2 linked regions of the Drosophila melanogaster genome follow. The protein of the gene in region 2 interacts with the protein of the main gene of each other region in a pairwise test. Each region holds a gene or a part of one and is shown on either strand. Other genes may lie near its edges.

Evidence for each region.
Region 1: the proteins of Nse4 (region 2) and MAGE interact in a two-hybrid assay, tested with the Drosophila melanogaster proteins (2 studies listed by BioGRID).

The regions. Positions count from the first base shown.
Region 1 is NT_033777.3:7,153,655-7,157,185, forward strand, and holds MAGE (MAGE), read right to left. Parts: upstream 1,527-3,531; 5' UTR 1,411-1,526; coding exon 712-1,410; 3' UTR 584-711; downstream 1-583. Other genes in the region: Sas-4 (spindle assembly abnormal 4), read left to right, coding at 1-510.
Region 2 is NT_033779.5:10,437,495-10,441,823, reverse strand, and holds Nse4 (Non-SMC element 4), read right to left. Parts: upstream 2,385-4,329; 5' UTR 2,296-2,384; coding exon 2,205-2,295; intron 2,154-2,204; coding exon 1,936-2,153; intron 1,880-1,935; coding exon 1,712-1,879; intron 1,649-1,711; coding exon 1,319-1,648; intron 1,264-1,318; coding exon 1,198-1,263; 3' UTR 777-1,197; downstream 1-776. Other genes in the region: STUB1 (STIP1 homology and U-box containing protein 1), read right to left, coding at 2,700-2,942, 3,012-3,068, 3,128-3,233, 3,382-3,523, 3,585-3,783, 3,863-3,985.

The sequences.
Region 1 (3,531 bases), on a different chromosome or scaffold from region 2:
AATCTAAAAAAGATAAGCGCCGATGGCATGAACTTGCGCATGCTCTATTTCAACAAGGATATCAAGGAAACTAACATCAGGGAAGGCACAGTGAAGTATTACTACGCTGAGACCAACACTTGGCACACCTCCTACCTAGATGGCTTGGAAATACTCGAGTTTCCCAACGGGCAGACGGAACATCGCCGCAAGGATGGCACTGTTGAGATTCACTTTCCCAACAACAGCATTAAGATTGTGGATCCCAGCGATACGGAGAAACTGGAGGAGTGGCGTTATGCGGATGGAACCCATCTAGTGCAGCTCCGGAATGGTGACAAGATTCTCAATCTGCCCAATGGCCAAAAGGAGATTCACACCAAACTAAACAAGCGAAGGGAGTATCCGGACGGCACTGTGAAGCTAGTGTATCCGGATGGCAGCCAAGAGACGCGCTACTCCAACGGCCGCGTTCGTTTGAAGGACAAGGATGGCAAGCTCATAATGGACACAGACTATGCCAAGTATTAGAGTCGGGTCTCTGCTTCCGTTGTTAAGTAAATTAACTTAAGTTTTAGATAAATAGAAAAGACGTGCTATTTTTAAAAGATCATCGTAATATTCTTTTCTTGCTGATAAATGGGAAATTGGCTCTATTTTAGATTATTATATATATTGTTTGGTTTTCAATTTGTTAGATCAAATGTAGTAAATTATTCATAGAATGGTATTCTACTCCGCGTTTACTCCTTCTTGGGCCATGGAGAGGTGATGGCCGAAGACCTTGGGATGCTGATTGAGCAGCTTGGAGGCGAATTGCACCATTTGCTCGAATGTGAACTCCGCCTTGGCACGTGGTCCCCAAAGGAAGAAAGTCTTGGAATCATCGTAAGCACTTAGCTGTGAGCGTTCCCGCTTCAGATATTGTTGCTTCACAAACGTCTCCTCGATCTGTTTGCGCAGATTGGGGCCGAAGTAGCCATGTTCTTCGTCTGGATAGATGTTGAGCATCTCCAGCATAACGTACAGTTTCGAGTCCTCGATGCGGTTGCCGCGCAGGAAGATGTACATGAGAATAATATACAGCAGCGTGAACTGCGGCCGTTGAGCCGGCGTCAGCTCGTGAATGGAGGCCACCGGCTCCTCCGCAGTGCAGATGAACGTCTTGGTGGTCGCGTCCAGTGGGGTTAGTATTATACCGAATGTTTCGGCCAGCAGATTAGTGACCAGCGGCAGGCGTTTCTTCAGTTCGCTCTTGTCCCCAGCCACCGCTATCAAATCCTTGTCCTTTATGGGAATCTTCTGGGCGGTATGATCAAGGATGTAGTTTAGAATGGCGCGAACCTTGGCGTCGACCACATCGACGGGTTGTTGCGCTTCCTGCGAGGGGATGGCATTCTGGCTCCTAGCTGCGCGAGAAGTGCTAGCCATTTCGAGTTAATTTGATTAACAAGCTCCCAATTTATCAAATTTATTTGATTATTTAAAATGCAACTCAACAAGAATGCAGCGAACATATGTTTTTTTTCGCACTTTTGAAAGTGTACAAGCCTGGCGTTGCCAGATCAGAGTTAAAAAACGAGACCTGTTTTCAGTATTAAAATACCAAATGGGCGCGCAAATTATATTAATTCAAAATCATTACTCTGACAATAAAATCTTCGAACCCTTATTATGGTCTTTACCAATCCTTTTCTCTCGCATCCTTTTTCACTTGGTTGCCTATTATATGCACTTTCAAGTGCAAATGGCCACTCATTGGTCTCGTTTGAACGCACAAACTGGGCCAAGAGCCGCTGAAGTACCTACTCTTGTGGGTTTGTATTGATTGATTTCCTTTTGCTGCCGCCTTTTTCCTCTGTTACATTTAACAATCAGTATGAAATTTGCGCTGCAGCGAAACGTTTGCTAAATAAATATCATTCGAGCATTTATCGAGCAGCTAAGCAGTGGGTAACGCACTTTGCATAAAAATTGCCATAGCAGCCTCAGGAGGTGATGTGTTTTTAATTAAAATGGCCAAAACGACGCGACGTGCAGCAGCAGGAAGCAAACAACTTTCAAAACTAAACGCGAATGACATGCACGGTCAACATTCCCCACGGAGACTCAAAATAAACAGAGACCGAGTCAAACAAAACGAAATGGAAATGGAAATGCATTTCGCGCAGCAGACACACGCGCCGAAGTGCACTTCCAGACGCTGCAGAATTACATGGCCAAACATATTTTATTGCCTTGAAATGTGTGTTTTAGGTGGCGATGGCGGTGGCTGTATCTCTGCGGTGAAAACTAGTTACCTGCGTCTGCGCAAAGTGCGCGATCCATAAGTGATAAATGTACAGGCGGAAGGCAGACAAAAGTTGCCTGGCCAGGCGGCAAGCTTTAATTGATTCGCCATTGTTCCGGCTTGAACAAAAGCAGAATATCGGAGTTCAGATTGTTAAAGACAGCCTTTGTGGCCGCCTGAAATGGATATCCGCCGCGTTCTGCAATTGATTCTGCTTGACCAGTGACTGTAATAGCACCGAAATTTGCATCCCAGCAAGTGAAATTACTCAAGATTGTAAATCTCGCAAAACGGCGGCTGAGTGAGTCAACAAAACGCACTGTCAACGCGAAGCGTTAGACTTTCTACACACAAGCAAACAGTTTTGCTTTCAAAATGCGCATTGTAACGTTGGAGTTTGTCAACTCCAGCCCTAAAGTTTTTTTATGGCCGGCTAATTGTAGCCAGACGGTGTTGGAGAAATGTCTCATTTACTAAAAAGAAAGTCAAGGTCTTTGCTGAGCGACGTGAGCGGCAAACTTGCTATGCAGCCTGGCTTTTAAAGGCCATTAAAAATTAGCAAATGACATGAGCATGCCATTTAGAATTTTCATGATAAACAAAATCCCATGACCAGCCAATAGAGTAACGACAACGGGTTTCGCAGCTCACCGCGGTGGCAAAAACTATTAATAAATTAATAACAGAATCACAAGAGGCAGCAGACAAAAAATGTGTGCACAAAAAAGAAAGCCAATATTGGAATGAGGAATGTGTGGAGTTTAATGCTCTATATGATCGGGATTAATTGTTTTTAAGTGGCTTGCTCTTTGAGATTTATCATTTCGAATATCTTAAGGAGCTAAAAGTTTTTTATTGCGAAAATAATATGAATGAAAATAAAAAGTGAAAAATGAATAAATAATATTACATTTAAAATTCAGAAAAATGGAAGGCACCATTAAATGGAAATTACGCTAATATAAATACATCTTTTGATATTCTTAAAGTTGTATTTTAAAAAAATGTGTTGCAAACATTCAAATTAGTCTTTCGTTTTGATAAGAAAAACGCTGATAAATGGCATAGTTTCGCAAACATAAATCTCTTATCTTGTAGTTTTTTAAAGATTCCTTCTTTTCATGTTCCCAGCTTCTCTGGCTAAAAATATTTTAATTTATTCTTCAGCAAATCGAATGTTTTATTTCCCTATACAAGTATATAAGTTTGTTCTTACAACCTCTTTCAGTGAGCAGATAACCCCGTTTCGGTCGCAATGGAAT
Region 2 (4,329 bases):
ACTTAAAAAGTTTGCTTGCAAAATAAGAAAACTTTGAAATAGATAAAATTTAAAGCTAAATTGTTTTTTTGAAATAAAAACATATTGCAGCATATGCATAAAAACAATACATTTTTTCAATAATTTTCCAGTTAAAAAAAAACTATTTTCTCTTTGCTCAAACTCATAGTAGCATAATGCATTTACTAAGTTTTTCATAGAAGTAGAATTCTTCAATGGAATTTACTAAGACAAACCCAACTTGGCAACTTATTGAAACTGCGCTTGTGCATCATTAATTTTGTATTTTGAAGATTGGGTGGCTATTAATTGGGTCGTTTGTTGCTATGCTGATATGGAGCAATAAATCTTCATTTTGGTTTTATATATAATTACACATTAGCTTAGTTTCCTGCACTTGGGTCAACTCTCTTCGCCCACATGAAGTTGAAAGCCCCAAAATCTCAGACAATAGTGCATCGAGTAACTTGATCTACTACATCCAGTTTGAATAGAAGCACTGATCTCTTAGAAAAGGCTATACTCCATAGAAAGCCTTTTAAACTCCGTCGACCGCAAAGATGCAATTAACCCTAAGCTTCATTGTGCAATAAATCTTAATTAATCTTAATTTCTCTTTGTGGAATTAAGTTAACGGAATTCAATTAAAAGCCGCTGTGCAACGGAAAGTGCACTAATTTCGAGCACAGGAGTGATTTTTTAATTAATGGACCAATCATTCATTCATTCATTATTCCACTCTGCAAAGTAATTTATTTGTTTAATTCTTGGTATGCCACCCATTGAGACCAGGAAAAACGGATTAAGAACATAATCCGAAACTGGTTAAAGTTATAAGTAAACAACTTAACTAATATTTAGTTCCTAAATATAACATACATACATTTTATATTGCTATAACTTCACAAGTGCCCCTTCTACATATTTCACAATTTGTAGGCGGTCATAAAAATTGACATAATGGCAGGGGCGGATTCGTAGTAAAATATTGGGGGAAGTGTTTGAACTATGAAGTAACTGCTTGAGTAATAAAATTCATTTAATGATTTTGTGTTGATATTACGTTAATTACTTAATGTTTGGGGGAAAGAACACTTTCAATTACCCGATTATTTATGCCGTACATGAGTAACTTTAAACGTTCTATGTGTTTTATTAATAACAATATAAACTATTAATATGAACTAAGTGATATATCTATTTCTCACTAACCGGAAGTCTTTTTAACATTGGCTCATGTAGGTTGTAGTGCTTTACCATTTTCTGTAATTTAAATCATATCAATTATAATGCTTTAAACAATAATTGAAATACGAACCTCACAAAAGGTAACATCGATGGAACAAATAGCCTGGGACGGTGCGTTTCCTTCGACCGATTTGGAATTCACAACGCGAACCAATGGCAAACCATCCTCGCCATTTTCGATGGAAATATAGTTCTCCTTGACAAGAAACGACAGTTGCAAAGCGTTCTGAACGGTGTCCATAAAATTGTTTGGATTGCAAATCAGTTTAAAGTACGGAATCGGCTCTTGATTGCCATCTCGATATATTTGTCTTATTTGCTTCAGCATGTGGGTTACGGACGCTGCTCCTTCGTCCTTGCGTTCCAATTGGTCACTCTTTTCTGGACGCTTCTCATCTACCTACAAGATCCATAATAATATGAACAAATATTACTGTGAGAAATTGTTTAACAAATGACTTACTTGAGATTTCGTTTTGCGAGGAGCACGTTGCTTTTGAACCACCACCTTTGGAGTAACATCTATGAAGGGCAGCATGCTATCATTGGTGAAGAGTGGTCTTCCGAACTGAATAGCCAATGAACAAAGAGCATCCCAATCTTCTTCGCTCTCTTTGAAAACCAAATCGTTCTGTAATAGGATCAAACATTACGATCAGGCATAAATAAAGTACACAGTGCACCTACGATCGCCGTGGCCACCATTCGATCCGTGACGTTGGTGTTATGTTGGATAGCTTTTCCCACAACTTCGAAATTGCGACGCAGTAGCTCCGTGTCCAGGACAAGTTCCGTGGAGTTTGTACGGCGGTCTTCATGTCCCTTGCTGATATCGTTGGCTGTCTGAATGATTTCCTCTATGGCCGTGATAGACTCTCCGATGGTGTTGTTTTCGATTTGTTGCTCTGCAATTCATATAGTTATTTCAGATATTAGTAATTTATGATTTAACTTACCTATCTCAATATTCTTTTCGATCAGATTTTGCAGACGCAGTATGCGAGCATCTTGGTCATCCATTTGCGATTGGCTTTCAGACGAATCCATATTATTGTTAAATAAATACTAAACAAAGAAGAGCGAAGTTAATCCAATTGTGAATTCACATAAACAAATTTCTTTGAAAATGATTTCTGCAAATCTGTAAGCAGCTGTATATCGATAATTTGTTTGGTCAAGATATCACCAACTTTTTGACTAACTGGAACGGGTGATCGAAACTATATTGTTTTCACACTACCGCTAACTCTCTATCGATATCGTGCAAAAGCTTTTTTATTTATATTTTGAACATTATGCTGTTTAATTTATTAATAATTACAATTTATCCATTTACAATATAAATCTCAATTGCAGATCCACATTTATTATCACTTATCTGGTTTTTAGACAATGGGAACTGGGTTCTAACATCTAATCAATTACAATGACAATGCCAACTAATAAGTAACTTAATAATCTAAAGACCATTCATTCTCGGCAATAAAAGAGTCAACCACTTCCTTCATTGAAAAATTTGGTATTAGTTGATCCTGAGTGAGCTTAACGCGTGTCACAGGATCGAAATGTCCAACCCGCTGCAAGTGTTCTTCTATATCTTTTCGTTCATACGTAATTCCAGATGGAGTTATCACAGGGTCTGTTAATATTTCAAAACTTATTTTGCCACATAGAAAATCGGGAACTTCACGTTTCTGTAATATGTAAATAACAATATTAGAACAATATTTTTAATATTGGTTATTTTTCCTTTAGTTTCTTACCTTTCGACGTTCGTCAACCTTAGAAAATATATTGTTAAGTTCCTTAATATGGTCATCCTAAAAAGTAAAATTAGATTGTCAACTCCGCTAAATATTCTGGTTAAAGTCCAACTTACGCATTCTTGCTCAATTTCCTGTTGCTTGTCTTTCAGCTGCTCATCGTGTACATTTCCATTCAGCTTTAAATTGGCCAAACGGCTTTCCATGTCCCCTTTTATTAGACTGAAACATAAATATTTAGGTTTTGCACAAATTTCGCTTTTTTTAATATATATTCTATCACATGAGGACAACAATTGCCTCGATATCGTCGTGCGGTGACTAAATTTAGTTTGCAAAAGGCATCTAGAGAATTCGAATAACATCTTACCCATTTAAATAGCTTTGCAGCTCGATTTCCTGCTGTATTCGCTTCTCCTCCATAACATTCCAGCGCTTTTTGCGAGCTAGTCGCAACTGTAGTGTAATATCATCCCCAAAGTTTTGCTTCTGCTCCTTGGACAGATCGTATGCTATAAGTTTCATATATGGTTAGTTAGTGTAGAGAACATCAAAGGTCAGGTATTATCTAACCCCGTTGAAGGTGCTTTATAGCCTCGTCAAAGTTGTCGATTTCCATGAGTCCTTGGCCCAGGAAGAAGTGACCCTTCAACAGATTCCCATCGATGTCGAGGGCGCGCCGACTATCCTGGCAGCACAGTTCCCATCTCTTCAGTTTCAGGTTGCAGAGGGCTCGGTTTGTGAAGTATGTGGCGTTTGTGGGGTTCTTTATCTACATATTATATGGAGCATAGTGCACATGTAAACAACAAAATACACATCACAATAACAAAAATATGTGAGACACCTACGATGGCCTTTGAGTAGCAATTTATTGCGTCGTCATATTTTCGGGCTGCAAACAAGCAGTTTCCCTGCTCCTTTAATTGCAGATCTGATAAATTGGTCGTGGAATAGATGTGCTTGGTCGTCATCCTGACGAATCTTCTGCGCCTGGTCCCAAATTTGATTTTCCACCGATGAAAAGTGAGTGTGTGTCCAACAACACCGAAGCACTCGTAAATTTGTTTCCTCTGCAAGAATTGGGGAACTGCTGCACGAACTTAACAGTTAACAAAGTATTAAGTGGGAAACGGTAGTGACTTTTGAACGCTCATAACACCAAAAAGATCTTGAGCTATTCGCCTGTATTTAATTAAACATAAAACAATTTTCAGCTACGTTAATCGATGTGTTTCTAGAGTTGCCAAGACTCACAAGCTTAAATTAAAGCTGCACATTCATCGATTGCACTATCACCGCCCAAACGATACTTTTG